3 linked regions of the Tamandua tetradactyla genome follow. The protein of the gene in region 1 purifies or fractionates together with the protein of each later gene. This does not show direct contact. Links are inferred from orthologs where the notes say so. Each region holds a gene or a part of one and is shown on either strand. Other genes may lie near its edges.

Region 1 (6,968 bases):
TACCTCCCCCACCTCCCCTTCAGGCTCTTTTGCCACTTACCCTCTACCACCTTGTGGTAGGCAAAATGCAGATAGAGCAGGAAAAGCATGTGCAGGGCAGCCAGAGTGCCGCAGAGGAGCAGGCGCTGTGTGGGGCCCACAGTCCGTGACACTAATACTGCCACCTAGGGCCACAGGGATACAGCTCAGAGCCTGTTCCAAAGTGAAGGATTGGAGGCAAATACCCCACCCAGGGCAGAATCATCTTTGGACCCTTCTCTACCATTCAGAACCCTTTGTGGGGTTCAGCTCCAGTGCCAGCCTTTCTTTCCCAACTCCCCGGGAGGACAGCCCACCCCTGAAAACCTCTTGCCCAGCTTACCATGCGCAGGGTGGATAAACCACCCACCAGCAGCCAGAAGAGGTAAAAGAGGGCATGGAGGTGGATGTTGTAGGTGATGAACAGGACAATGCAGTGCCCAAAGAGGCCATAACCCTGGGAAGGAGGATAATGGAGAGGAAAACCACTCAGGCTGAGGTTGGCCTCTGGTCCTTCATAGGAACCCTGAGAAATAAAGGGTACAATGGCTGGCTCCTCCCATTCCAGGCTCTGTGGACCCAAAACAGATGGAGACCAAGGCCTACCTGCTCTCTTAAGGTTATCCCTGCTCACTGCCATGCCTGGCTCCTTACCAGCAGTGCCAGCATCTGGAGCATGGTGATCTGGGCGTTGCACAGGTAGGCGAGGAAATAAATGAAGGACGAGACGCCCAGCCAGTAGCCGAAGCAGGTGCCAATGGCTGTGCCCATCAGGGTGCCCTCCCGCTGTGGGGTGAAGGCTCTGCTTAGTCCAGGGAGGCCTCTGATCTCAGTCTCAACCAGGGCCTTCCTCAGGGGGTGCTCCTGCCTCACTCCACCATCCTGTCCTTGGGCAGCTTTCAGCCTAGTTCAGCCACCCCCCAAAGTCCTCTGTCCTTACGATAATTGTGTCAGATGTCTTCATTCCATGGAGGAGGATAGCAACCAGCGTGAAGACCAGCATAAGAGGTCCATAGAGTTCACCTGCGATTTTCTGTCAATACAGCAGCAACTCATTCAGGATGGAGGGTACCATGGCTATCCCGTTTATGGCTTCCCAGGCTTTGCCTGGTGGCCTTACCCTCTGCCCTGGTGCCTCCCCTGTTTCTCAGACATGCCATCTCTTATTCACCTGGGGGAAGCTGACCATCTTGATAGGGATCATGGACTCCAAAAGCCTGGGAGAGAAGAGAGGAGACATAAAAGCAGAGGCAGAACTGAGTTGTGAGGTTCTGGAAGGGAAGTCCTGAGTCTTACCTAAAGGATATGCTGGATGATAGGAGGAGAGTGTAGTAAAGACAGACAGGGAATGGGAAAATCACCTCCTTGCCCTTTAAAATATTCCCAGGAAGGACAACCTCTGATACTGTGCTGACTGAAGCAGTTGCAATATGGAGAACTCAGCCCAGATGGGCTTTGGGAGAGGGCCTGACAATTTAGCTATTTGACCTATTCCCCTTATCAGACAAACAGGCCTTAACAGAGAATACCCAGAATTCAGGGCTGCATTAGTGAAGCCCTGGGAAAGGAAAGGTGTAACTTAGGAAACCAGCATGCATCCTGCCTCCTCTTGCTTGCTATTTCTTTAGCACGATTGAACATTTTCTTGAAAGCTACATTAGAAGTGGTAAGGAAACTCCAGGCAGAAAGAATAAAAGTACAAGATACTTCCCCACTCTCTTCTTAAGTGGTTAGCCCCTAATAATACTTTGGATTTTAGTTAGATTTACTTTCTCTGGAAAACCTGCCCTGGCTCATCCCCCAGCCCACCCTGGGTCAGGTTTTCCTCCTGAAAACCTGGTTTCCTAAGTTACACCTTTCCTTTCCCAGGGCTTCACTAATGCAGCCCTGAATTCTGGGTATTCTCTGTTAAGGCAGGTGTCCCACACGGCTGCCTATTTTCACTACACTTGAGGGCAAGGCTCCCATCTACCTTCACCACCGACTTAGGCACAGCTAGTATGGTGCCTGGCACAGAGAAAATGTTCAGTAGACATTTGCTGAGTGGTCTGGGTATCTGATAAGCATTGGTTAAGTAAAAATATGAACAAAGAACCAAATCAAGATTAAATTCAGTTCTTTAATAGTCATTCAGCTGCTATGCAATGATATTCCAGTTCAGAGACTATTCTGGCGCTGGGAATAAAAAGATAAACAAGACAGAGTCTGCTCTGGAGGGATTGGGTTCTCTGGGTAGACAAACCGAGGAATAAGAAATACACAATGCTGAAGTGCTGTCACATAGAGAAAACTGCAAAATGCTCTAGGAGCAAAAAAACCAACCAACCAAACAAACAACAAAGGGGCAGGCCATGGTGGCTCAGCAGGCAGAGTTCTCGCCTGCTTTGCCAGAGACCTGGGTTCGATTCCCGGTGCCTGCCCGTGCAAAACAAAACAAAACAAAACAAAATAAACAAACAAAAAATGCTCTAGGGGTACCAGGAGAGAATAAACTGGAGTTGGGGGTTAAGGAATAGGGAACAAAGGAAGTGACACTTGAGCTAGGTTTTGAGGAAGATGAGAAGTCGGCTAGATGGAGAAAAGGAGGAAGATAATATGATATCACCATGTTGTATTGAACGGCTGGTGAGAGGTATGGTGTGGCTGGGATACAAAGTGCAATGATGCAGGGTTGTGGGGTCACGAGGGTAGGGAGCCTGACAGCTCGATATATGGGTGTAGGTTGGATGAAGGACCAGGTTAGGAGAGCAACTCTGTTAGAAGGATCCTTACCTGCTTCGCACCTGGGCAGGCTCCACATCAAAGTAGGGTCTCAGGATGTCAATGTTGGCGTACAAACTGAAGGCCCTGGAGGCTTGTCTCTTCCCTGCCTGCCACATCTAAAGCAACGAAGATGAAGGGTGGGGTTGGGGGGATGGGTACCGTGAGACTCTTGGCTCTAGGCCCTGTTACCTGTTTTCTGTTGGATTTCTACATGGTTCTACCTGGGGTAGACCTCACCAATGCCGACTCCAGAGCCCTGGCCCTGCCTAGATATACTGTTCCACCTGTTTGGGATCCAGTCTTGCTTACCTGATCAGCCACTTGCCGGCTCAGTTGTCCCTTAAAACCCTTCATGCCCAAGAATTCCCCATCCTCTTCTTCAGCAGCTGCTGCATCAGCATCTACCTCTTCCTCACGCAGACGCTGATGCAGCTCACCCATATCCTCAAAGCTGGAGCCTGAAGTGTCATCCATGTTCTCCATGTCAATCACAGCTGAGCCCCCACCCTGTGAAGACAATGGCTCCTAGAATGAATGGCCTTTCTGCTCATCCATTAAGTCCTCCTCTCTCATCCCAAAGTTTGGGGCTCTGTTCTTCCACTGCTGGGGCTATGGCTTTGAATTACTACAGATCACGCCACTTCACTGCTTCCCCTTCATTTGCTCTCAGAATGCCTGGTTCCTAGCTTTGGCTCTCTTTTCTAGCCTAGGAAACCTACCAGCTGTCTTCCATTCAAACCTTTCTCCTGCTTTCGGTATGAAACCCTCAAAGGCTCAAGACAAAACTGCACACACTATGCTTTCGGCCAGTGACAGTAATTCCTGCCCCTCCCCCGCAGTGTCTGACTCCGGCCCACTTCCTAACTTGTCTCAAAAGCGTTAGTACGCTCTTCCTAACGCCTGAGGTGGGTTAGAGACCCGAAGCCTTCCGGCTGGAGTATCTGTCTGGACCTTTCAAGACAGCACTAACCCCTCCGACTGTCTCGCCCAAGACCCACTGGAGAGAAAAAGTGTTGCAAATGGCGCAGGAGATAAAAAGGTTAGGAGCGGTTTTCCAGGCCCTGAAGGAGAGTCCTCAGGGCACTACAGGGTGGCTGCCGGCGCTAGGGCTGCTGGCATCCAGAGCTTTGGTCCATTACCTGGATGTTTTCTTCGAACCCTCCCCATTCCGGGCCAGTCCCGTTTCGGGCGCCGTTGACAGGCGCCGCTGTAGCTGCCATGTGTCTTGTGGGCTCCCGTCGCTGAAGCCCGCGCTAGCCCCGCGCCCGGAGGAGCGGGCGAAATATGGGTCCGAGGGAGGGAGATGTCAAGAAGCAACGAGAGACAGGACTAGCCGGAACGCAAAAAAGGGAGAAGCCCGGATGTTTGGCCAAATCAGACTCCCGGAAGCTAGGGACGTGGACGGAATAGGATCAGAATCTCGCGATATCTAAACCTCCAGTTGGTGGCTCGTTGTCACGGAGACGGCAAGGCTAGTAGGACGCACGCGCCAATTTACTGTCTTAGTCACGTGGTGGGTTTGAAGATGGCGGCGTCCCAGAGGGTAGAAGAAATGCGAAACCGCGTGGTTCTGGGGGAGTTCGGAGTTCGAAATGTAAGTCCTGTGGCTTTAGGCTCGGGAGGGGAGAGGGGATCAGAATAGGGATGAGTTGGTGTCGGGGATGCCTTTGGCCTCGCAGACCCTTCTCGGACAGGCTCGCCTCTCTTTGCTCTAGGTTCATACTACCGACTTCCCCGGTAACTACTCTGGTTACGATGACGCCTGGGACCAGGACAGCTTCGAGAGGGTGAGAGAGGAGTGGGAAAGTACAGGGAGGGAGAGGGATCTGATTAGGAGGTGGTTGGGGCTGTAGGTGTCCGGAGAGGGTGTGAAGGCCGGACGGTGTGAGCTAAGCCTCAGAAGTTGTCCTTGGGGCTAGAGCCAAAACGTTCATAAAACGTTTACTGAGCGTGTTTCCATCCCACCAGTGCTAGGTGCTGCGTGTACAAGGCTGAATCAGGCGCATGTTTTTTTTTTGCCCTGTTCTGTGAACAAGAAGTTGGGGAAGAGCGCGCATAAAACAAATGATTCCAGTATTGTGTGACAGTGGCGGTTGATAGCGATAAACATGGGATGGGGATTGGGTATCCTATAGAAGGACCTAATCTGGACTGGGAATGGGGACGAGGTATGAAGAGTGCCTGGAGGAGATGCATCTCAATTCAATCTTCAATGATAAGTACAAGTTGTGAACATTGACGAGAGAGGAGGTACTAATAACAGAAGCTAAATTTTGAGGTGTCTCGGCATTGTCCAAGCAGTTCAATATTGCTGTGATGTAAGGTGGGCTGGCACGAGTGATAGGCAGGACTGGAGTAAGTCTTAGGCATTGCAGGTAATAGCTTTTGAATAATTTTTATACAGATAACATCAGATTTGCAACTCACATGATTGGGAGAGAATTTGAGCAGGATGATATGGGTCAGGCAGACCTGTTGGAAGAGTTGAAAATGAAGGCATGGACTAAAACTGTGTCCATGGAAATAGAGGAAAGGGAGGATAGAAGGTAAAATTTGGGATTGATTTGATATGTGCGGTGAGGGAGGGGGAGTGTAAAATAACCTAGTTTGAAGAACTGCTTGGATGGTGGGTGTCCTCTAAGAAGAAATGGGTCTGGGGAAGGAATGATGATGCATTCATTTTCCTGCATGTGGCAATGTCTAGCAGGCTAGAAGAATATATATTTGAAATGAGATCAGAAAGTAGAGTTGATTAAAACCATGAGTGTGGGGTTGAGGTACATGGGAGACAAGAACCTGGGAAATAGTAACATAGGGGAAAGTAGAAGATAGTGAATTTAGTAAAAATCATCAGAGAAGGAAGAGAATCAAAGTTTCAAAAAGAAGGAATTTTATCAATAATGGCAAATGCAGCAGAGTCCAGTAAGGTAAAGCTTGAGTGGTGTCGACTGGAATAAGCAGTGTGGAAGTTCCAGTTCCATAAAAGAATGGCTTCTGTGAGATGATCTGGCTAGAAACCAGATTGCCGAAGGTTTTGAATAGATAAAAACAGAATTTCCAAGAAAAAAAGAAAGGATTCGGGAGAAAGGGACATGTAATGAGGGACATTTGGGCAAAGGGGAGGTTCCTGGATGAGAAGGTATTCATACTTTGAGAGAAATATCCAGAGGGGAGATGTAGAGAGAAATTGACCATACAGATAGCTGGCATCAGTTTTTCTTGCCCCTCTAGAATTTCCGTGTGGATGTGGTACAGATGGATGAAAACTCATTGGAATTTGACATGGTGGGGATTGACGCAGCCATTGCCAATGCATTTCGACGCATTCTGTTAGCTGAGGTATTGATGGGAAGGTGGCATTTGGGGGGTTGTGTGGGGAACCATGCCATCACCTCCCTTGTTGAATATATGCATCTCAAGCTGCAGCCACTCCTTGTTTTTCTTGTAGTTTTGCTGGGCATTCCTCTTGCCCATTCCTTGTAAACTGCTCATCAGACATTCTTTCAGAAGAGTTCTTTTCCTATGAGGAGGCAGGGATTGGGTGGGGAGTCTCTTGAGTGTTTGCAGATGGGTGATACTATTTCCTTGGGCAGGTACCAACCATGGCTATAGAAAAGGTCCTGGTGTACAACAACACATCCATTGTCCAGGATGAGATCCTTGCCCATCGTCTAGGGCTCATTCCCATTCATGCTGATCCCCGTCTTTTTGAATATCGGAACCAAGGTGAGGGTCTGGGAAAATAAAGTTTTGGAAACAGGGGAAGTAACTCTTTATTGAAGTTGATTTTGTAATCAAGATTGCCTGAGTTTAGATACTGGGTTGACTACTGTGTGATCTTGGGCAAGTTACTTAGCCTTTTGCAACGTTAATGTTCTCATCTGTGAAATGAAAATTGTACCTGTTTTATAAGTTCATCAGGAGGATTGAGATAGGCATTGAGTATAGTACCTGGCATGCAAATGTTCACAAGTTTTCCTCCTCCTCTTACATTTGTGCAGGAGATGAAGAAGGCACAGAGATAGATACTCTGCAGTTTCGGCTGCAAGTCAGGTGCACTCAGAATCCCCATGCTGCTAAAGATTCCTCTGATCCCAATGAACTCTATGTGAACCACAAAGGTGAGTAGTGGTAGGGTAAGGGAAAGGCTGATGTGTGCTAGTTTTAGAGGTTGAAGTCATCTAACA
Region 2 (7,104 bases), on another chromosome or scaffold:
GAATGGAAATGGGACAAATTTGAGAACAGCTGAAATGCTAAATCAGCAACGCTTGGTGACTTATCAGTAACTACTCCCTTGCACAAAATCCTTCCATGGGGGGGGGGGGGTGCAAGGATAGTTCAGTGGTAGAATTCTCGCCTGCAATGTGTGAGACTTGGGTTAGATTCCTGGTCCATACACTTCCCCCCCCAAAAAAGCCAGCCAAACAAAAATTCAACAAATGGTGCTGCAATAACAGGATACTCACATGGAAAAATAATGAAATGTGACCCTGCCATCGAACATATATAAAAAAAAATCCCTCTATGATTCTACCACTGCTTATAGCTTATGGCCAATAGGACTGGCAGTGGGTAGAAGCTGAAGATAACTCTCAGTCAGAAAAGAAAGGAGAGGACTAAAGGGGTAGTTGGAGGACCAAAAGTAATATTTCCCACTGCTTCTACCACCCAGAATCCCTTCCTCTATCCTGCCTGGAGCTGAAGACCTTTATGGAAAATTGACCACAAATTACCTACACTCCTTCTTCCCTTGCGCTAGAACAGAGGCTGGCAATCTGGACCACATGTTTGATTTTGTAAATAAAGTTTTATTGGAACACAGCCATGTCCATTTGTTTATATATTGTCCATGGTTATTTTCTCGCTAAAAGTAGAGTCGAATAGTTACAACAGACTGTATGGCTTACAAAGCCTGTAATATTTAGTAAGTAGCATTTTATAGAAAAAGTGCCAATCTCTGAGCTAAAAGGGTAAAGAAGTGATTTAACAGAAGGTTACCCTGCCTGCAAATCATCATATCAAGCGTCTTTAGAAATTCAACATTTAAAAAATTTGATTTAAAAAGCAAATCAGTCATTCAGATGAGGTGTTAATGTTGAACTCTTTTACTTAATTGCTCCTAAAACCACACTATAATGCTTTCAAGAAATGGGAGTTTTGAAAATGGGGGAAAGGAAGGAGAAATAGGTAAATTTAGAGCACAGATTACCACTTGGTGGGGTGTTTTTGGACTGTGGGAAAACGTTTCACTGAAACACCCCACTGTGATGTCACTAGCAAAGCCTGCACTTCTTCCTAAAGGAACAGCACTGCTGACATTTAACTCATTCCTACCTCTTGAAATGCCCAGTTTGAGATTGGGGAGGGTGATATTCTAATGAATTGGCTCTGTGACAACTCACAAAGAATTCAGGGAATTTATTTTATATGGAAGTGCCCAATACCAGCAGTAGGGAAACAAACAGAGGTGAGCACAGACTACACGTATGTGCCCTTATTACCTTAATGACCATTAAGTTAATAAATACAACATTTATTGTATAAATATTGGAAAATTTATTTTGTTGCTCTTATAAAATGACCCATAATTAGAACTTCTTTACTCACTTCAGGTTGGTTAGCTGTTTCCTAGTATCAGAGGTTTCCTGCTTAGTCTGAGCTGTCTTATCAGTCACAAGCTAACACACCCGGTTTTATGGCTACGTCATAGGAAGTAATGGAAACCAAAACATATAAAACATTACATGAATAAGTTGGATTCTCCTTACCATGGACAACAGTCTATTGATGGCCATTGCCCGTTGCTGGGCTTCTATATGAGGCATTTCATTCTGAATTACTTGGTCTGTGATTCCATGAGGGAACTGGTGACATAATTCTATAATCCTAGGAACAAAGGCATTAATGATATGTTTATCTGTTTCAGGAGGCATTGGGGGGAAATCCAAGCAGAACAGTTTGAATTTGGGTGTTTTTCACATCTAACAGATAACCTGGGTTTCTATGATGGTTCTGAATCAAAGTACGTAAGAAACTGAGGAACATGCTTCCTAAATATACGTGCCCTCACTAATTTCAACTTTAAATTAGAATAAAAGTTAAGTGAAAATACAGAAAAAAATTTTGAGACTGAGGCTCCAATTTTCTCAGATGGAATAAACATGACAAGGCATATTGCCTTTGTCAGTTTGAAATTACTGAATAATAATAAAGACAACGCAATGGGTAGCCATAACACTGTAAACAAGAGGCAAAACTTGTTAGAACAATTCTCCCTCACTGGAGCCTGATTTTGGAATTCTCTCTCCAAGCAAAAATAAGTCCAAATCTTCACTTTGTCATAGGATCAGCATAGCTGTTATAACAATTTGAGAGAGCTGGGTCTTTTAAAACTGTGTGAATATCTATAAAGAGAAGTACACTGGCAGAGAATACATAGTTGGGAGTAGCTTTAAGTGCTCTAAAGTTTTGACTTCAATACCTCACCGAAGCCATGTGGCTTAACACTGCTTCGTGATCATAAACTGCACCCCTAACTCCAACCAAAAGTTTTGTTCAGTGAGTTCCCTTCACGACAAAGGGGGCCTCTTTTGTGACAAAGGGAGCCCGGATCACAAAATGTATCCACAAGAACTACGGAGAAGACGCCAAGGTCTCATTTTTGGGCACTGATCACCTTAATGTAGGAAAGAAGTGTATCACCGCAACTTCCAAAACAGCACCAGAGTAAAGTGAGACCCGACACTGGTCCACGGAGAAGAGGTCCGCTGCTTTCACCAAAAGGTACCCGAAGCCTTGAACCAAAACTCACACGTTTACCTGTTTTCTATTTCCACCGGATCAGCGTCGGGCGGCTGCACCTTCACCTTCACCTCAGCCATGAGGGCGCAGTTCCCGGCCCCAGCAGTGAAGAGACTCACGGAATGGCTGGGTAAGGAGCCGGGAAATGCCGGGAAAACAGCACTAGGGACGAGGGGCCTTCCTCCTGGTGTCGCAGTCGGTCTTTCCTTATATGTCGGCTCCAGGTGGCCAAACCATGCCTGCTCCGCCTCACGTGCCGGCGCTGCCACAGCTTCTTATTCTTGTTTTCCTGACTATTAACGCTTGTCGGACTAACGAGTCTGGTTCCCTCATTTTGAGTTGAGACGCCGTCTTTTAGCACTTTCCTACCTCTGTGAAGGCACATTCTCGGATGCCTAAGGTGGAGCCGTAGTAAAGGAGCCGAGGCAAGACCAGCCCTGCCAAGCCGCAGGGGCGGAGCTGGTTGCTAGGAAGCCGGGCTTCCGCCAATCAACTGCCCAGCTGCTAGCGGGCGGGACGCTGCTCCCAGTGTCTGTGGTAACCTGGGCCGCCGGGTAGCAGGCTGCAAGAGGCGGCGAAAGGTGGTGAGAGGCTAGCTACCCCCACCCCCCTACCCCGAGGGTGGCGGAGGCAGCAGGGGCTTAGTGGAGGGGTCCTAATCTCGGTCGGGGTAGCTGGAGGAGAGCCTTCCTCACTCACTAAAGGATACGGGTGTCCCTGGTTGAAGCTGATGGGCGGGGGCGGGTACGGGATGGAGCTGCAAATCCTGACAGCAGGGAGGAGGTCTGAGCGGGGGGGTAGGGTTATGTGTGCGTGTGTTGGCGCGAAGGGGTGCTGTTGACGCCGCGCTGTCGTTTGGGCCTCGCGGGTCTGGGCCCTTCATGGTCTTTGCGTGGGGCCCACTGGCCGCCGCTGCCTCCCGAGAGCAGGTATCAGTGCCGCGGGCGAATTCCTCCCTCTCCAGCTATTTTCATTGTGAACGGAGATTTCAGCTATTTTTATTTCAACTACATCTCACGCTAATGGAAATGCGGGAATTGGCAAGCCCTTCAATGTGTCAGAGAAAGCACCAGACGGTGTCAGAACAGACTTTTATTTAAACTGCCATGGAAGGGCGAAGAGAAGTCGGCAGCCGGTCTCAACTTCGATTAGCACAGAGGGAGTCAGATTTTTTAAAGAGCACAAAGAGGACTGGATAATTGCTGAGAGGGATCTGAAAAAGTTCAGGGGTCTAGCAATGGGTTCATGTTGTGCAGTTTCTGAGAACAGTATATTATGCGGTTTAGCAGTATTGCATCATTCTAGGTAAGAGCTCAGGATGGGGGCAGGGGCCCGTCCAGGGGCATGGCCTAGCAATAGAAAAGTCCATGCTAAGGTTTGGACAAGTCTCTAGTGCAGATTTGGACAAGTAGCAGCCGAGCAATTTCTTGCAAGCATTCACAAGGTTCAGCTACCTTTCTTAGGGGCTATTGCTCTACTGTTAGTATCTGCAGTTTAAATTCACTGCCCTCAACCTGGAACTGTCAAACAAGGCATTAAGTTCACCCCTTAAATTTAGTTCTCCCATTTCTGAAATGCAGTCTGTGACAAAACTCAAACCGCAAAAATGTTTAGAGCAATATTATTTAGATTTGCAACAACCAAAACTAAGTTTCAAAAAGAAACTTGAACTTGCCTAAATGCCTAACCAAAAATTGATAGGTAATACATAAACATATGGAAGATTGTAAATAGTTGAGGGTGTGAGAAGTAGGCTTTAAAAACTGAATGAATATATGTAGTTTAAATGAGTAAAACTTATGTGTCACAATCACTGAAATTTGAAAAGGGCATACACAGATGTAAATGGTTGCTATTTTGAAGTGACGGTTTTATTTCCCTGAAAGATTTTATGTGTTATAAAGGATAACACGCCCCAACAAAAAGATCTATAAGGCCTCTGAGCTAGTTTATTATTTGTAAATACAGTAAATGGAATAGGAGACTTGTGTTTGCTGGGCACTGGTTATATCTATGCCAGCTTCCTTTCTGCTGAGGACTGATACTCTCCAGTCCTTCTGGAGCTTCTCTGCAGCTTTGAAATGCAGGGACCACTGTGATGACAACTGGGGCTTGAGGACCTAGAGTTTACCAAAGGAGGTGGCTCTAAATTAACATTTAATGCTACATATAGAGTTACTGTTTCTCTGGTGTGATGATTACCCCAAAGCCAAGAGAGGTGGCACAGTGGTAGGAGGTGGGAATGGGTGGTACTGATCAGTGGAAACTAGGTCAAATCATTAGTGCTGGTCTCTGTTCTGCCTCATTCCTTAATATGCCCATTTAATAAGTCCACTAGTACCCGATTCCATTCATTCATGCTTTTTTTCCCAGAAAAGAGGGGGAGGATTTAGATAGTCAAAACCCTACACAAAACCTCAGCAACAAAAAATACAACTGAAACATAATCATTATTTCAATTAAAAATGGAATAATATTAACAAAATCTTTTTCTTTTTTATTAACTTTACTGCATTTCAAACAAGGTGCTTCTCTTCAGCTTACATTCAAATATGAGTACACGTTGAAATTTATTTTCATGTAATTTTTTAATATCAGGAGAGAAAATGACTGCTGGTTCGGTGTCTGTCCCTCAAATCATACCATTGCAAGTGCCTCAGCCTGGAAAAGCCAAACATGAAATTGATAGCAATACACTTTTGGAAATGAAATCAGGTAGGAATCAAATGTATTTAAAATAATTTAAAATAACACCGTCATAAGTTTTCTGCTCGTCTGTTTATTTGTTTACATCCTTCCATGCTTGTTTTAACTTAGGGGAGTTTTCAAAGCTTACAAGTGTTATACTTGGACGGAGCGTTATCTATGTAGATTAAAACATAGATAATGGGCTTTGACCAGTCTTTCCTCTGTATGAGAATGTTGTATACCTTGACACCTTAGCAAAGGTAAGATGTCCTAGTGTTTCCCCAGACTTCCCCAGGATGCTCATTAGTTTGCTAGGCTAATAAATTTGACCTATTACACAAGATTTCCAGTCAGACAGGTTGGGGATTGGATCCTGGCTTTGATGACTTCTAGGAACCTTGGGCACATTAATTAGCCTTTCTAAGTCTCAATTTTCTCATTGTAAGATAGGAATAATAATGCCTACCATTTAGAGCCATTGCAAGGAATCAATGAATTGGTATATATGTGAAGTGTAAGATCTATGTAAATAATATATCAAATATTATAAATATATCAAATAAAAATATATGCATCCATATTTAATTAACAGAAAGAAAAGGGAAAATTTTATCAATAAGACATGAATAAATGCCCTCATTAAGAAGATACTGAGATTCCAACTATATACATTTTTTAAAATATTTTTATTGATAAATCTTAACATACAAACGTACATTCTTAGCATACAAAAATTCTGTATATGGTGTACAAATCAATGGCTCATGATATCATCACATAATTGTGTTTTCATCACCATGATCATTTTTAGAACATTTGTACCACTCCAGAAGAAGAAATAAAAAAGAAAAGACTCATATATACCATACCCCTTACCCCTGCCTCCCATTGACCGCTAGTATTTCCATCTACCTAATTTATTTTACCTTTGTCCCCCCATTATTTGTTTATTTTTTATCCATATTTTGTACTCATCTGTCCATACCCTAGATAAAAGGAGCTTCAGACACAAGGTTTTCGCAATCACCCAGTCACATTGTGAAAGCTATATATATATACAATTATCTTCAAGAAACAAGGCTACTGGAATACAGCTCTACAGTTTGAGGTACTTCTCTTTAGCCACTCCAATACCCCATAAACTGAAAAGGGATATTATATTATTATAATGCATAAGAATAACTTCCAGGATACCTCTTGACTGTTTGAAATCTCTCAGCCACTGATACTTTATTTTTTCTCATTTCTCTCTTCCTCCTTTTGGTCAAGAACATTTTCTCAATCCCTTGATGCTGGGTTCTGGCTCATCCCAGGATTTCTGTCCCACATTGACAGGGAGATTTACGCCCCTGGTCAGTTTAATTGAACACCGTAAGTATGTGGAATATTGAATAGGGTGTGAGACTTTGTTGGTTTGTCCAGGTTAGTATGATGCCCCGATATATCCCAGAGTGATTTGGGCAGTGAATAAAGGAGTATGTCCCCATAGGAGGGGATGGCAGTGAGTTTACTTGCTATGTCAGCTTAGAGAGAGAGGCCTCATCTGAGCAACAAGAGAGGTTCTCTGGGGGTGACTCTTGGACCTAATTTTAAGTTGACTTAGCCTATCCTTTGCAGGAATAAGTTTCATAGAGATGAACCCCAAGACTGAGGACTTGGCCTGTTGATTTGGTTCTCTCCACTGCTTATGAGAATATCAGAAACTCTACAAGTTGGAAAGTTAAATGTTTCCTCCTTTCTCCCCAGTGCCCCAAGGAAACCTTGCATATACTTCTTTATTCACTGCTTAAATCACTCTGGGATATATCGGGGCATCATACTAACCTGGACA
Region 3 (7,781 bases), on another chromosome or scaffold:
ATTCCAATGTTGGATTATTTTCCATACTGGTCATCTATATATCTTGTTCTTTTCTTTCCTAGTTTCCATTTTACCTATCTCTTCTACCTTTTGCAAGTTTTTCAACTTTATCTTCCAGAACTTCTATTAAATAATTTTTGATATTTTAACTCACAAGAGCTCCTTTTTGATTGATTTGTTCTGTTACTCAATTTTAAAGCATCCTTATTATCTCTTCGATGTCTTGGATTCAATAGCTTCTGTTATCCCCTGGATGAGTTAATAGTTTTTCCCACTGAGTTGCATTATTGTTTGTTTTGAAACTTGATCTCACGTTAGAGGATTTTCCAAAACGCTTGTTTAAGCATTTTAAGATTTGGGGATCCAAAGGTTGTTTGAAGCATATGCCTAGGGCCTAGTGTCACAGGCATCTTGGTTTTTTTCCTTTGGAGCTGGGCAGAACCCCAGATAAAAATTCTTCTACTTTTCTATCTGGGGAGGAAAGGCCTGGCTGCTATCCTTCTGGAAAACCAGTGAGGACACATATGTGCATATATTCCTCATGTTTTCCACAATGAAGTCCTAAACTCAATAATGTTTGGTGTCCTATCCTGAAATCAAAAAACTCTTCAGTTTTAAAGAGTGGGGGAGGGGTATTCATTTTCAGCAACCAATGTAGGGTTTTAACAGCTTCTAACATGTCTTCCAACCAATTTTACTCATTTTAGTATCCTTTCCTTCACCCAATGAGGTACTTAATAATTCCTGAGCATCTTAAGGCTCCTGCAACATAAATGGCATTGGCTCCTGATTTCCTAGTGCAGGCACAGGATAAAACTAACTCAGTCCCTATATCTGCTTTCCAGATCTGCAATAGTTCCCTGGTCAATATGGATTTATACTTAAAACAAATAACCCACTATCCCTTTCTAATAGTCTTAATGGGGTTTTGGGAGGGAGCCAAATTACATGGGTCTATTTAATCTGCTACCTTCTTGGAATCTGTATGTTTGTTTTTAACCTCTCTAAGCAATTTAAGTCTACTGGAACCACTCCTCTGACACAATATTTACAATCATTGTAGTGTCAGTTCAGATAATATCTTGGTACTCTGGGCAAATTGCTTTAAACATGTATAAACGTTCTTCACATCACTTGATAGCACTTCATATTATTTAAATATTGTGAAAAACAGGCAAAATGATATCTGCCCATTTCAAGAGGAAACTGCTATATCAATCTAAAGTATATTACTATCTTCTTATAAGTAGATATTATTTCACTATTAGGGTGAATTGCTTTTGCATCAAAGATATACACTGGATGATATAGCTGGTGTCTTGGCCTCTTTGTACCTCATTTACAAGTCAGCTTTTGAGTTTGGAATACTGTGCACAGATTTATGCTTCTCCATGACAGGTGATCCTCCATACACTAAATGAAATGTAATAAACAAATGACTCCAATCTCCTTGCATTCTAATGAAAGCAGTGAAGACTTTATCCTGTTTGGGTTTGTGCTATTTGTGTTTGTATGTGTGCGTGTGTGTGTAACTGTTTATAAATTTTTACTATAAATATTTTATATCTTTTTCCAGTCATCTGGATCCTTAATAGCAAGTTAGAATTTTTGAAGTAATTTGTTTGCCACCCTGCCCCCCCGGAAAATGTGTGTGTACCATTTTATGACATTGTTGGCTAGAATGAACCAGACTCTATTTTTTATTCAAAGCTCTGCCTCTCTTTGGAGACATGTCATGAGAATAAAAATGTACACATTCTCTGAAAAAAAAAATAGCAAGTTAGAAAGCCACATCATTCAGAAGAGACAGGAAATTAACATACCTGAGAAGGGAGGAAATTAGATACTACTTGAGAGTGTGAGACAACCAGCTCCTAATGAAGAACAACTTTTGATAACACAGTATTTTCACCTTCAAAGTGCTTGGTAAATATTAAGCTTTCTGATTACACCTTCAAAAGTCTTAAAGCTCCACACAAGTAACTTGCAGGTCCTTTGCAGTTTCAAAATGCTACATTCTACCATCAATTGGAATTCAGGAAACCTGGGTTTAATCTCAGCTCTTGATCAAACTGGTTATGTTTGATCTGCTTGGGACTCCTGTTTTCATCTATAAAACAAGGGAGTTTCACTTGTTGATCCCAATTATTCTTTTGATCTATAAATCTCCCTTGGTGCCTTCAGAAGTAATTTATTCTTTAAAAAATTTAAATACATTTAATATTATTATAAACATATTTTGGTCTAGGTGGGATATAATTCACTGGAATCAACTAATTCTGAATACCTAGTAACTGCATGTAAATCTCACCTCTAAAAGTTTGAATTTTATCAAGAAATACATAAATTAAAAGGACATTTAATGTGAATGTACTTTTTTTCATCTTGAACTGTTATGAAAAGATGTTTTGGGTGGTGTGGGCAATTTATAGAATTGTGTTTTCTATTTTTTAATATTGCAAATTAATGAAATCTTGTAAGATAAAAGTGCTTATTCTTTATTTGGCAGTATGGCTGGGTCAAAAAGTGAGCTCTGTCTGGTACCTATTGTACTTCAACAAGTGGGTCTTTCTACCTTATAGAGGGATATATTGGTAGCAACTAAAATGGTTTGGAAAGGGAAAGGAAAAAGGGGATTTCATTTTACAGAATTATCGTAATATATTTACGGGAGGAGATTCATGTATGTTCAGTTTGCTTGGATATACTGCACCTTGGCTCCAATCCATTTTGTTAACTATTTTGCTCGGTAGACTTCAGCCAAGTCATCTAACTGGGTGTCAATGGCCTCATTTCAATTGTGTTGTGAGGGTAAAAAGAAGAAAATGGAAGCATCCTACAAAGAAGGAAAATTTAATAAACCAAACATTGCTACTATGGCTATTTAGCTCAATTATTTAAGCACCAGCGTAGAGGGTTTGAGGCAGGGGCTGACACCTTCCTCTATTTTGTTTTATTCCATGAATTTCTTTCTGAACCCCATTCTTTCACAGAGCCAGAAAAGATCAGGATTACCTAGGCATTAGACGACATCTCTCTCCTCTACCGGAAGCAACATCCTAATTAATTATTCTCAGGTTTGAGACTCAGACATGTTTTACTTTTATGTTCGCAATCACGCTTTTTTTCTCGTGAGGCAACATCAAGAACAGAAATCTATTTTGAAGATAATGGTGCTCGATCACATTGGAACCGCTACTCTCTTAATGGTCTTCTAAACCTACAGGTGGTAATCGCCCACATGCAGTGGTGACCAAGCAGATGAAGTCAGCAGTTCTCAAAAGCATAGCGCATGGCATGCTCTCTTCCTGAGGTGTCACTCCTTAGAAGTCTTCTCGTTACAAAAGCACCTAGAAATGTCAGACAGGTGCCCGGAAAAGCACTGGGAAATCCCAGCCACAAGTCCCTGTAGCGCTACTACTGTTAACGGATCGAGGAAAGTGACTAGGGGGTGGGGACGGCTTTCACTCGAGCAGCGCAACCGCTACACAGTGGCCGAAGCCGGGCTCGGCAAGGAAAGCTGCAATGGCCTTGCCTCTGATCGGGTGGGCTTTTACTCAAGGAGTGCTGCAACTGAAGTGGTGTTTATGCGACGTGCCAAAACAAGCCCCTTACAGCCACGCAGGTCTGCAACATGCATCCCTAGGGCCGTCTCTTCCCCCATCCCTTCCCTTAGAGAGCGCGCGCGCATGGGGGCCCCTTACCATCCTGCAGGACCAGGGTGGGCTGCACAGCCTGCACTCGGAACTGCCTGGCCCTCCAGCCGGGGCTGGGTGCCCGCACCACCTCGCTGTCGGACAGCCAGGTCACCGTCTCAAAGTTGTCCCCACGAGCGAGAGCCTCGGCCTCGGCGTGGTGCACCGCCACTCGGTCAAACTGGTAGAGGCCGCCGGCGTGGTCGAAATGCACGTGCGTGGCCACCGCCAGCAGCGGCCGGCGCGCCGCGTCTTCCTTGGCTCCGCGGTCCTGCAGGAGACCGGAGGAGTACAGGTACTCCGGGAGGCTGCGCAACCCCAGGCCCGTGTCGATCACCACGTCCTGCTCCGAGCCGCGCACAAGCCAGATGTTGGCGCGGTTGCCCGACTCATAGAAGCGTTCCTGAATCCAGAAGATGCCGTCGCCCAGGGACTTGTGGGCGTACCACTCGAGCGCTGACATCGTGGGCAGGGGTGCGGCCGGGGGTGGGCGGGTGTGGGCGTGGGAGCTTCCCGCAGGCTGTCCGGAGGAGCGGCGCTGCGGCGGTGTGGAGCGCGGTGCCCACAGGCCGGAGAAGCGCAGAGCGAGGAGGGGGGCGGGGGCTGCGGAGATACGCGTGGGGAGGGGGGAGCAGGAAGGACGCCTCGCACCTCCCGCACCCTCCCACCAGGTCCGCAGAGAGCAGAGGATTCGCTGCCCGCACCCGGACGCAGGAGCACTAGCTGTCCAGCACAAGGCGGGGGAGGGGAGGCGTCAATGCAGGGGCCGCTTCAACAGAATGGAGATCCAAAAGGCGATACTTTCACCACCTCGCGAGGAGAGGGGCACTGGGGGCTGACTGCAGAGGCGTGGGAAGTCCCGGGTCTGTCCGCCCACCCGCGCAGCACTGTGCTCACTCCCAACCGGCGCCGAAAGAGTCAGGCCAAGCCGGTTGGAAGAAAACTACGGCGCCTGCCAAGGGCTAAAAAACCTTTAACCCAGGAGGTGGGGCCTGGCTGCGGGCTGGGCGGGGCTAGATGGCCGGGCTCAGAACGCGGGCCTGCGGCCGCGTGGAGGGCGGGGCGCGCTGCTCCAGAGGTAGATCCCCCGGCCGGCGGCGCCGGCTCCCTCCATCCGCACCCCTTCCTTGCCGGCCGGCACCTCGGCTGCAGTTTTGCCCGAGCCGGGAGACTTAGTGAGCAGGTAACTGAGGAAGCAACCGGGACCCTGGGAGGGGACGAGGTGGTTAGGGGGGAGTTTAAAGAGGCACATGGAGTGGGTGGGGGAAGCCAGGCGTGGAGATTTAAGGTCCTCTGGGAGGAGAAATGTTGAGAGATAGCTTTATCCTCTTCTGCTCCATTCAAAATCTTTTAGTTGTGGTTTCTGGATCTTACTTGGTCTCCACTTCCTGGGACCAAGTGATTTAGGGGGGAACTTATTTACTCTTACTGATGGTAGGAGATTTACCAAATCCTGTGACTATGCGATTTTTCAGGTACTAGTCATTGCCGCAGACTTGCCCCCTAAGGACAGATTATTCAGGATCTGTTTTTAACTGTGGGCATTTTACCCTTCGTGGGGAGGGAGTTTGTTAAGATTTTTCTTCTTTTTGAAAAGTAAAATTCTTTATTTTTCTTCACCTCCCCTCGCCCCTCATTTTTGGTTAGTTGGTTCGCTGTTGGAAGAGAGCAAGGAAAGTTGGTAGGCATGCCCAACCAAGGAAAGGTGGAGGCAGCCAGCCCTTCTGACGCCTGGAAAAGTGAATAATAACTGGGTGTGGTCCCGCCAGCCACGTAAATCACCTCTGTTATTAACACCCGGTGCCTGCAACCTCCCCTCTCCTTATCTGCAGCTTTTGAAACATCCATTTAGGCTTAGAAAATTCCCTTGAGAGCTTGATTTACCTCCCCACTCAGTCAGGAAAAATTATTAAGGGACCCATGAGACAACATTATAAAAGATAATTATGGAAACCCTTACTCTGGCAGTTACTAATAAGCCTTAATAGAAACAGAGGTATATGCTCTTCTACATTTTTAAGGCATTTGGTGGGGATGCGACCTTTCTGAAGATTTTACTAATCCTTGGAGGTTATCCAGTCACCACCTAGGGGGGCACTTTTATGTGCATGACCCTGAGCTAGATGCTGTATGAGGAAAATAATTGTGTGAGAAAGACATGATCTGAGTTCTCAAGAATGCGAAGGAAAACAATATCTGTACACAAATTTTTGCAATACAAAGCAAATATGGGGTATAGACCACAGAAGGAGTCGAAATTAGGTGCAATAGAGTACAGCTAAAAGATGTTTTTATTAGGACATTCTCAGCAGGGAAATACAGCGCTCCCAGCAGTTCGGGTATTTTTCATCTAGGCAGAAAGAAACCGTTGGAGTTGAAATGAAATGATATCCTTGTGAGACCAAAATCTCAGCAAAAATTCACCCAACATTTATTGTATTTTTTTGCCAGGCTCTGGTTAGGGATAGGACATAAAAAGAAGAATAGGTTTTTATAGAGACCCTATGCATTTACAGATCCCTCTCCTTATATCCCATTTTCTCCCTAGATATCCTTTCCAAATTCCTTGCATGGTTCCCTCCCCTACCTTCCTCAGGGAAAGCCTCTCTCCCTTACATTCTTCAGGGTGCTCAGATATTACTGAATGAAGAAAAGACTTCTTCAACCATCCTTTCTATAGACGGGGTGTTCCCAAATCTAGTTTCCACTCTTTCCACTGTAGGCCTTGAGTTTAATTTAAATTTATTCTCCATTTCCTATACTAGATTATGAATTCCATGAGAGCACAGACTTCGTTTTGTTCATTGCTATGTTCCCAATGCATAGAAGATGTCCTGATTCATAGAAGGTGCTTAGTAACTACTTGATGAATAAATGAATGAAGAGACATAATGGGGGGACAGGCAAGAAATGAACAATTACATTACAATTCTAAAACCAGCCATAGAAGCATGTACTACTTGGTAAACGCTGAGAAGGGAGAGGACTACCTCTGTGTAGGGTGTTGAAAATAGTCACAGAGAAAGTGACATTTTCAAGGAGTCTTAAAAGGATTGCTCGGGCTTCCTCAAGTGGATGTGGGAGGACACTCCAGGCGGAGGGTACACTGTGCAAAACTAGGGTAGCAGCGTTTGCTGTGGTTAGAGTCTGGGATGCAGAGGACTAGAGGCAGAAAGTTAGACTCAAAAAAACTCTCTTGGGTGTTTATAAGGTTGAGAGTGACAGGTCAAGATATGTTTTGTAGAAAGGCAAATGGAGAGTGCATTGAAAGACTGTCCATGGGAAGTTTGTTCTGTTTTAGAGGTTCAGGTGAGAGACCATGAGGGAGTAAACTAAAGGAGAGGTGAAAGAAAGGGAGTGTGTGGGAGAGCACACAGACCTGATAGTCTTCTATAATTAGATGAGGGAATGGAGAGAAAGGAGGTGAGGATGACTATCAGGTTTCTGATTGGGGCTACTAAGGTGTCATTCATCAAGAAAGGGGCTGCAGATAGTGAACAGGTTTGCTGGAAATTTCAGTTCAGGACACACTGAGTTGAGATATTTGTAAGATACATAGGTAGAAATATGCAGATGGTCAAGATAGAGTTCTTAAAAGAGGAGAGAGAACAAGGCTGGATTTAAAGATTGGAGAATTCTTGCCATGCTGGAGACCTGAGTTTGATTCCCAGTGCCTGCCCCTGCAAAACAACAACAACAAAAAAGATTGGAGAATTCTCCAAAGAGGTTAAGTGAACCTAAAGTGGATGGACTCCCTCATTGGGAGGTAAAGTGGATAGACTCACTGGGAAGAGTTTCTAGAGTAGTGTCACCGCTGTGGGGCATGAACTGGAGGTGTACATGTTTCCTAACGGCTCCCAGGCTCAAATGATTATGGAAGTTGCTTCCCAGATGCTCAACTTTTGTATGTACTCCTTTCTAACGTTCAGAATTCACCTACCTTAGAGGCTGGAGGTCTACATCTTGCTAGTTTTCCATTCCTAACTTATCTTTCCCATTTGTCTTTTTCCATTTTACAAAAGAAAGGCATACCTCTTATTCACCCTGGATTTGGTGCATTGCTTGGCGTTATGAACAATGTGTGAT

Evidence for each region.
Region 2: the proteins of POLR1C (region 1) and POLR3F purify together in Homo sapiens (affinity purification with mass spectrometry; 4 studies listed by BioGRID and IntAct, counting the BioPlex papers as one, with this or other methods). This does not show direct contact. The link is inferred for Tamandua tetradactyla from reciprocal best matches to the Homo sapiens genes POLR1C and POLR3F.
Region 3: the proteins of POLR1C (region 1) and POLR3G purify together in Homo sapiens (affinity purification with mass spectrometry; 4 studies listed by BioGRID and IntAct, counting the BioPlex papers as one, with this or other methods). This does not show direct contact. The link is inferred for Tamandua tetradactyla from reciprocal best matches to the Homo sapiens genes POLR1C and POLR3G.

Annotation. Positions count from the first base shown.
Region 1 is NC_135331.1:101,093,638-101,100,605, forward strand, and holds the start of POLR1C (DNA-directed RNA polymerases I and III subunit RPAC1), read left to right. Parts: upstream 1-4,001; 5' UTR 4,002-4,306; coding exon 4,307-4,375; intron 4,376-4,496; coding exon 4,497-4,568; intron 4,569-5,185; exon of another isoform or gene 5,186-5,327; intron 5,328-5,698; exon of another isoform or gene 5,699-6,012; coding exon 6,013-6,120; exon of another isoform or gene 6,121-6,374; coding exon 6,375-6,507; exon of another isoform or gene 6,508-6,782; coding exon 6,783-6,902; exon of another isoform or gene 6,903-6,968. Other genes in the region: protein YIPF3, read right to left, coding at 41-164, 362-475, 673-804, 959-1,051, 1,190-1,235, 2,791-2,897, 3,091-3,288, 3,921-4,001. UniProt on the Homo sapiens protein: DNA-dependent RNA polymerase catalyzes the transcription of DNA into RNA using the four ribonucleoside triphosphates as substrates.
Region 2 is NC_135327.1:42,132,886-42,139,989, forward strand, and holds the start of POLR3F (DNA-directed RNA polymerase III subunit RPC6), read right to left. Parts: upstream 3,032-7,104; 5' UTR 2,666-3,031; coding exon 2,604-2,665; intron 1,671-2,603; coding exon 1,553-1,670; intron 1-1,552. Other genes in the region: DZANK1 (double zinc ribbon and ankyrin repeat-containing protein 1), read left to right, coding at 5,192-5,300. UniProt on the Homo sapiens protein: DNA-dependent RNA polymerase catalyzes the transcription of DNA into RNA using the four ribonucleoside triphosphates as substrates.
Region 3 is NC_135347.1:40,811,019-40,818,799, reverse strand, and holds the start of POLR3G (DNA-directed RNA polymerase III subunit RPC7), read left to right. Parts: upstream 1-4,750; 5' UTR 4,751-4,878; intron 4,879-7,781. Other genes in the region: acyl-coenzyme A thioesterase MBLAC2, read right to left, coding at 3,705-4,158. UniProt on the Homo sapiens protein: DNA-dependent RNA polymerase catalyzes the transcription of DNA into RNA using the four ribonucleoside triphosphates as substrates.